2 linked regions of the Solanum lycopersicum genome follow. The protein of the gene in region 1 binds, or shares a complex with, the protein of each later gene. Links are inferred from orthologs where the notes say so. Each region holds a gene or a part of one and is shown on either strand. Other genes may lie near its edges.

What was found. The genes of interacting proteins can lie anywhere in the genome.
Region 2: mediator of RNA polymerase II transcription subunit 8 (region 1) and mediator of RNA polymerase II transcription subunit 30 share a complex: the UniProt entries of both Arabidopsis thaliana proteins name them as parts of the mediator complex. The link is inferred for Solanum lycopersicum from reciprocal best matches to the Arabidopsis thaliana genes MED8 and AT5G63480.

The regions. Positions count from the first base shown.
Region 1 is NC_090802.1:67,515,728-67,520,337, forward strand, and holds part of mediator of RNA polymerase II transcription subunit 8, read left to right. Parts: intron 1-438; coding exon 439-563; intron 564-637; coding exon 638-818; intron 819-1,233; coding exon 1,234-1,341; intron 1,342-1,423; coding exon 1,424-1,494; intron 1,495-2,660; coding exon 2,661-2,951; intron 2,952-4,610. UniProt on the Arabidopsis thaliana protein: Component of the Mediator complex, a coactivator involved in the regulated transcription of nearly all RNA polymerase II-dependent genes.
Region 2 is NC_090807.1:2,029,146-2,032,719, forward strand, and holds the start of mediator of RNA polymerase II transcription subunit 30, read right to left. Parts: upstream 2,801-3,574; 5' UTR 2,678-2,800; coding exon 2,279-2,677; intron 938-2,278; coding exon 839-937; intron 278-838; coding exon 179-277; 3' UTR 143-178; intron 62-142; 3' UTR 1-61. UniProt on the Arabidopsis thaliana protein: Component of the Mediator complex, a coactivator involved in the regulated transcription of nearly all RNA polymerase II-dependent genes.

The DNA of each region.
Region 1 (4,610 bases):
CATTCTCCAGGTGTTCCTGATGGCCCCATCAACTATCAAATGGTCCCAACTCACAACAACTTCTCTGATAGTTTGAGGCATCACCCAGTTCAAACTGAATAGGGAAAGGAACACATGCCATATGCCTGCATCCACCGCACAACGCAAGAAAAGATGATTTACTGATTCTGCACTTTCCTGAATTTCTTTTCCAAATTTCTGATAAGGTTAATGAAAGAAATAAGCATGTATTTTTTGGGCTGTGGAGTATATTTGTGTTGACAGAAAATCCGAAAGATGCTTTCTGTCTATGTTGCTCAGACTCTCAGTGGGTGTGTATCGGATTTTCCAAAAGTATTGTATTTTTGAAGAATTTGACACGGGTGCGGCATCAAAAGTGAAGAGTCCGCGCAGCTTAGCTTTCTGTTAGTTGTTACTTACAAATACTTTTCGATGCAGTTCTACCTGTTATGCTGTCATCAAAGCTGCTGCCAGAGATGGAAGTCGAAGATAATGCCAAAAGGGAGCAATTATTACACAGCATGCAACACCTATCGGTAGCATCCCAAATTGAGAAGTTGAAGGTGGAAAGCTCTGCAGATGCTATTTCTTCTGTTTCTGTATCCTTGTGGCTTTCTAATATACCTATAACACACAGGTTAGAATTGATATGATTGGAGCAGCATGTGAAAGTGCTGAGAAAGTCATAGCTGATACGCGCAAAGCCTACTTTGGAACCAGACAGGGGCCAACACTGCTTCCAACTATTGACAAGGCACAAGCAGCAAAAATTCAGGAACAAGAAAATTTACTTCGCACTGCAGTAAATCATGGTGAAGGTGATAATATTTATGTTCTGAGTTTTTTCCCAGAAACATCTTTTCTCCTTCTCAGAGTTCGTTAAATGTTTTGCTTGCACAAGACATTGACGCTAAAGATACTTGGACCCCAATGGTCCCTATGTTGATGTTTAATCTAAACTAAAAGAAAGAGAGAAGGATTCTTGCAAACTATCAGATCCACTGAGTGCCTTGTTAATCAGAAAATTGCACATATTTCTGATGACGAAGAAGGTGCAATTGCAAGTCAGATGCTTCAATGTGCTTCTGCTATGCATCACAATATATATGTACAATAAACCTGACATGTGTCTAGTGTGTGTAGCATCCCTTTGGTGGTGTTTGGCGGTACACTCGTTTATGATTTGTTTTAACATGTATGCTCACAGATTTCATGAAAATGGTACTTATGCAGGATTACGTGTACCTGGAGACCAAAGGCATATTACTTCTGCACTTCCTGGTCATTTGGTAGATGTGCTTACAGTGTCTGATGGCCCCCAGTCTTTCGCTGATTCATCCGGTAGCCTATCATCTATTGTTGTCCTACTGTTTCCACTTTATTTCATGAACATCTGACTAGAGAAATTGATGCTGTGTTCAAGTAGGGACTTATCTGAAGAATACTCCTCCCTTTCCATCGAGCAATGTTAATAGTCAGGGAGCTTTGTTACAGGTCAGATTTCTTATAATTTGCCTTGTAAATATGCCTTTTGCTTAAGGGATGAAGATCAATTTGAAACATGATTTTACTTCCACCCTCCGGCGTCCTGTAATGTTGTTATTCAAAGGAGCTATGAACAAAGGGACAAGTGGTTATCTTGTTAATGAGTGAATATCAATTTGGAACACATGAATTTTACTTCCACCACCCATAATTTTGTTACTAAAGGAGTTATGAATAAGGAACAAGTAGTTATCACACAATTATGCTATTCTATCTTTATCATTTAAAAAATTATGCTATGGTTTCTTTCTGTTTCGAAAAAAGGAGCCTTAACAAAGATAAGCGGTATGCCGTGTTACCAGGGGGTCACAGGTTTAGCCATGTGTAGGTCTCTCGCAAAAATGCAAAGTAAGGTCTGCACCTTCTCTAGTCCCAGGTATAGAGGGAGCCTAGTGAATTGGGCTACCTTTTTGTCGTCTTCTGTATGGTTCTACTATCTCTTTTACTGTTCTCGGGGAGGGAATTGTCATGCCTTTTTATTCCCAGTTCACTCTAGGTTTACAGACCTCTTTTTAGGTTGGCCAACCTGATTATTTTCACATGTTCCATAGCACCAAATGGATACCAAAAAACTGCACATCTTAGAATGGGTTTAGATCAATTAGTTACTGAAGGAGTTTACTAGGTCCACTATAGTATTTAATAATCATATACATGTTCTATGTTACACACCAAATACACTACCCTGATTGTAATTAATATCAACTACTGCATGTTCTTTGTATACTTACATCCTTGGTTACACATCAACTTCTCGTGCAAGTTGTAACGCCTGTTTTTTTTTTTTCTGGGGGTGAAAGAGCTGTAGGAATTATTTCCCTCATTTATTTGAATTTATTGGAGGATGGGAGATCAAGTAGAGTTTGCTATTAAATACTTATGTAAGAGTTCGGAGAGGAAATGCAAATCTCCTTCTATTCATGGCGCTAATCAGTAATATGGAAACAATAAATGATTAATCTGCCAGAAGTATACTGATCATATCCTTTTTCCATTCTTTCTCCTTAACTAAACATTACATTAAATCAATGTTCCCCAAGTTATTTTAATATATTGAGTCCTTATTGTCTTTTAAGTTCGTCAGTTCTAATATGTATGTATTGCTCTTGGAGTAGGCTTCTGGAGCACTTCGGGCTGCAGTTTCTCCTTCTGGGCCCACTTCCTTTGATACTACAACAGCATCACCTCTGCAACATGTCAACTCACCTAGGTCTAGTGCTAACATGATGAATACACCATCTCCTCAGCAACAGACCCATCAGCAACAGCAGCAGCAACAGCAGCAGCAGCAGTTGCAGCAGCATCAGCTCCAACAGAGGCAGAAAATGCTGCAGTTACCTCAGCATCAGCAGCAAATTCTTGCCCAACAGCAACTTAGGCAAGCCTCAATGCCTGGACTGGGGCAGGTACAGTTTGTACAAAAATCTTGATTGGTTTAAGGTATCTTTTTGTGAATTTGCACGACGTATAGCGTGCTTAGTATGGGCTACCTTACCATTACCCTTTTACTCATAAAGAACAGGCATATATCTTCTTTTGTTTCCTCCAATTGTCAGCTATGAGAATTGAATCCCTAGCAGTTCCTTCACAGAAAAGCCACTTTTTTTGGCCTTTAATATCCAACTAGTTCCATTAGGGAATCCACTGAGTCCTTTATGACAACCCGTAAATAGATTTAGCGGTGAGAGGGCCTGATGAATCACCATCCAACTGCGAACGCCTCTCATCTCGCAAAATTTACAAAAGTTGAAGGCTAAAATTGTTTACCTCATTCAACTCTTGAGTCATTATGATTCATTTAAAAGGTCCAGAAAAGAGTTCTCTCAGGCCTCTGCCACATCCCATGTTGACTTTTAACAAATTGGGAGAAGTCCTCCTAGTTGTGTGGTATCCCGTATCCCCATCCTAGCTGCTCTTTGATAAGGACTGGTAACTTGTCATCCCCATTTCCTTTCCACGTGTACTCCTCTGAACCATGCTCCAGTGCAATCTTTATCAACCCTTGACCTCCAATTAGGGATGTTCATGGTTCGGTTTGGGTCAGTATTGGTTGAAACCAAAACCAAATACATATCAATCAGTTTGGTTGTTGTTATTTGGTTTGGTTCAGTTTTAATGATACCTAATGATATTTCTCTCTTCAATTTTTCCCCTTACAATTAAGAAGGATTTTCCCATCCTTTTTCATCTTTGTGATGTCTTCCATTCAAAATACTTTTGATCATTCATCTAAAGAGGATTCTGGGTTTCTTTTATCCGAAGCGAATGCTTAGCCTATTTTGTGTTCTTTTTACAGTCAAAGACTGACATAAAATAACAAAGAAAATAGATTCATAAATTGGATCCACTGTTTTGATATGCTTAATGGTAAATCCTAGTATGTGAGGACAGGCCACTAGTTTTACAGCCAAGCTCCTGATCAACCTACAGGATTCCCAACTTCTCCAATAGGTAGGAATTTTATCTCATTTCTTCATCTACCAAGGAGAATTAGGTCCATTTCACCAATTAAAAAAGAAAATTGGGACCATTTCCCCGTAAAATTGAAGAGCAAAAAGTGCACTGCTTGCACTGATCTCTTTAAACTTGTTATGGTTCATCTCTCCTTATTTAGCATTCAGACAATTCATGAGGAGGAAGAAGCTCAGATTAGTTAGTAACACATGCACACTGGCTGTTTGTATATACGACATGCGTAAATATCCAATTCAGATTCTTTTCAAAGGGCACTTTACTCCAGGATTGCACATATTTTCCAAAGAGTATGAACTTGTTAATCTTTTAAACAAAATGAGGACAATTATTGATTTTCTGCTACTTTTTTGGGTTTCATTTTTGGTTTTGGAAAAGCTTTGTAGATGACACAGAATCTTTACTTGACATAATTGATACTTTGTAAGATAAAAGAGTTGATTTTCTGAACTGTAAATGTGGCTGCAGCACAGCCTTTATGCTGATATGAATACAACATTACAGTTTTCTCAAAATTAATGAACATTGATTTTCAGCACTTTCAATATGCTTACCTTACCATGAATGACTTCTTCAAACATGAACATAATTAT
Region 2 (3,574 bases), on another chromosome or scaffold:
CCGCGAGCAGCATATAGCAGGTGTCCGGCGATGACCAATTTTTTGAATCTAGCAGTAACTTCTGTACAAAAGAAGTGAAAAAAAAATAAAACAGTTTCTTAAGATTGAATACGTTGCTCTTTTGACATCTCTAACACCTCACCGATTTAATTGTATGGTTGAAGTTATAGCAGCAGAGTCATGTAGAACAGGGACTCTGCCATGTACATAGGTCAGCAAGAAGATCTCGAAGCTGGTCAATCAGAAGTTTGAGATGCTTGTTCTTGTCTACAAGCTCCTGCAATTTGTAAGAACAATAGAATATGCTTTAAATCTTGATCACAATAGCAACTTGATTTTTCACTACCGTAAGATAATAGAAAACTATTAGGCATGCACTCAAGTACGATAAAACTCTACCTTCACTTGAGGACTTCTTATTGCCACTAGGGGGAGACATAAAGCAAATGAAACAGGATTTGACTAATTTTAACGCAATAGGAATAAAATTAATAATAATACAGTATGTACAACAAGCAGAGGATGTTGAAACCAAGTTTTCATATGTTATCACAAAATCATATTGTTCTGATTTGAGGTTGTGACAAATATCGAGACTTGAGAAAGTTTGTACAGTAAGACATTTTGTCATGTGTCCGGAATGAAAATGTAACATGTAGTATACCTCAATATTGTTTTAATGGATAAGAAATTACTCAATGGATCAAGGAAGACATCAGTCAAGGTTCAAATATTGGCACACACATTTGCTTCACCAAACCCACCCATCATGCATCCCAAAAACCAACAAAAATCCAAGGAAATTCTAATATGTCAAAATTTGATATGTTATCAATACCTTCTTTAATGAAGAGGCCCGGTCTTCCAGCTGCTCAATTTCCGCTTGATCTGCTGCAGATAGTGAACCACTAGCAGAAGCAGCTTCCAATGCTTTTGCCTAGCTAACAAAGCCAGTAATGAGTGTGAAGTATCATACAATAAGTTAACAACTTTCCAAAATGTACAAGAAAATATAACTTGTTAATCATGAGAATTGAGACAACAGAAAGGAGAGTTTGACAACTTCCAGTTAAAACGGAGCAAATACTTGCACAACTCTTAAGAAAGAAGTTACTAAAAGAACTCATTTAATGTGTAGTCGGACATATGTTGAGCAACAAAAATGCACTCAACATCAGTGATTTATTTGTTCATACTGACAAACAAAATTCTTACTGCTTAACCAGATTCTCTCCAATGCACAAATGTTAAGGCAATCCATACACCAACACCAAGGACTTGAGATGTGATTATAGTGCTAATTCTTTCTTGAAAAGGATAACACGCAGTAGTTTATCTTGGTATAAACACTTATACCTCATGTGCGTTTAAACAGCAGAAACAAGAACAACCTCGAAAACATAGTTAAATATCTTCCCCCATCCCCAGCCCCCAACAGCCACCCACAAACCCAGAAGAATATAAGACAAATCAGAAAAAGAGTAAGCAGCACAGTTGAGCTTCATCAACTGATGACGAGGGATGATCAAACGACTGAATATTATATTCATAGTGAAGAAATATTATCCCCATGTCTAGAACATCAAAATATACAATTGCCATGTGCAAATGTTGCTCATATTGGTAAGGGCAAATTGTGCTAGTATATAACCACATGATGTCTTTCCCATATCAATCACCAAAACTGTTTAACCCCTTGTTTTGTGATTAAGATCAATCACCAAACACTTTTCACACTGAATTTACCTTTATCGCTAGATAATGTCTTTTTTTTTCTGCTCAAACTGGATAATGTTTTTCTCTCCTACAGTACTCCGAAGGAACTACATTTCTAGAATATCTATTTGAGTTTCATTCCCAATCAAAACTACCATCTAACAGAACACCAACACCACCTATGGCTCAACACAAGCTGGTTGGTGGTGGAAGTATACGAATCCTCCATATCCATATGGAACCACTTCACTCCAGTATCAAATAGTTTTAACCTTTGGAACCTCTAAAACTAGAGGTTATCTACGTTGGATCCAAATCTTTGCGGTCACGTTGAACTACCTTTGGCATTGAACAAAGCCCCAGTCTTTTACACATTTTCTGTTTAATGGACTTCACTAGAAGTGATTCATTCATATAGCTGAACCGAACTAGTTTATGATCAAGCCATTGTTGATTCATGATTACATCAAACTAACTTTTCCTGAGATCACTATCTTAAATTACAGATATCACACAATTACAAAAATGTTTTAAAAAATTGCATTTTTATACGTAAAATTACCTTTTGGGAATTAGAAATTGCAGTAAGAACAGAACGCAAGGAAGCAATAGAGGACTTATAACGCAGACGAGATTCATCAAGAGCACCACCACCAATATCCAAATGCTGAGCTGAAGCAGAAGAAGACGAAGAAGTATCAGACGAAATGTCGCCGTTTGTATGGTGCTGCTGTCCATTACTCAAAACACCACTAGCACCAACTCCTCCACCGGCCACCGCCACCGCAGAAGAAGCAGCAGCTGTATTTAGAGTGGACCAAAGTGATGGATTACAGAGTTCATCGTTCATGGCGGAGAGAATTTGATGTGCTGCTTCTATTGTATCTTCTAAATGCTTTTGCCCTTCTACTGCTAGTTCTTGTATGGTTTTAGGGCTTGTAATTGTGCCTTTATCCTCCATACCGGGTAATGTCACCGGCTTGTCAAAACCCTAGATCGACGGCGGCGGTAGTGGTGGCGATCGGCGGTGCGAGAAGTTGTAAGGAGAATTAATTTAAGCATAAAATGACGTCGTTTTATGCGTGGCGTGTACTTTTTGGGCCGGGTAAGGAGCTATGTATTACTGGATCAAGCCCAAAATCAAGTTACTTGGGTCAAAATTCAAGGAAAAATTATATAAATTAATACATTTTAATAAATAATTACTGATTTTAGCGATACTTTTTATTTATTGTCATTTATAGCAATATTATGTAAAATCTGCAATATGAATTAAAAGTGAATTATGTATGCAATGTACGTGAATTATAAGTTGTTTTTTGAAATATATTAAGTTTGTTTACTAAATTTGACACATTCTATTATAAATGTATTAAAATGTGTGAAAAACGTATTATCCATCGTTAAAATTTGTATTATATGTAATATTAAATTGTTATTTATAATATGTATAAAACTTGTATTATAAATAAATTAAAACTGATTAAGTAATTTTTTTTTATTATTGCTATAAATGGTAAATATTTTTTTAATTATAGTACGTGTATATAAGTTCCCCGAAATTCAATGGGGGAAAGAAGTGCACAAATATCTGTGTTTAACGTTGCAGAAAAATTACCAGATTACATAAACATTCCTATCATATTTACTACGTAGTTTTTTTTTCATAATTTTGAAAAGTTACGCATCGTCTTCTAATTAGTAATTTCATACTAGATGTCAAGTCATATAGACCTAGATGCATGTAATATACTACTATATACACTTTAAAATATAAACTTATAGAAAAAAAGACGAGTGAAAAAGACGTAAAGTGAATGAGAGAGAGTCTATGTATCGCAAATAGATGCAAACTAAA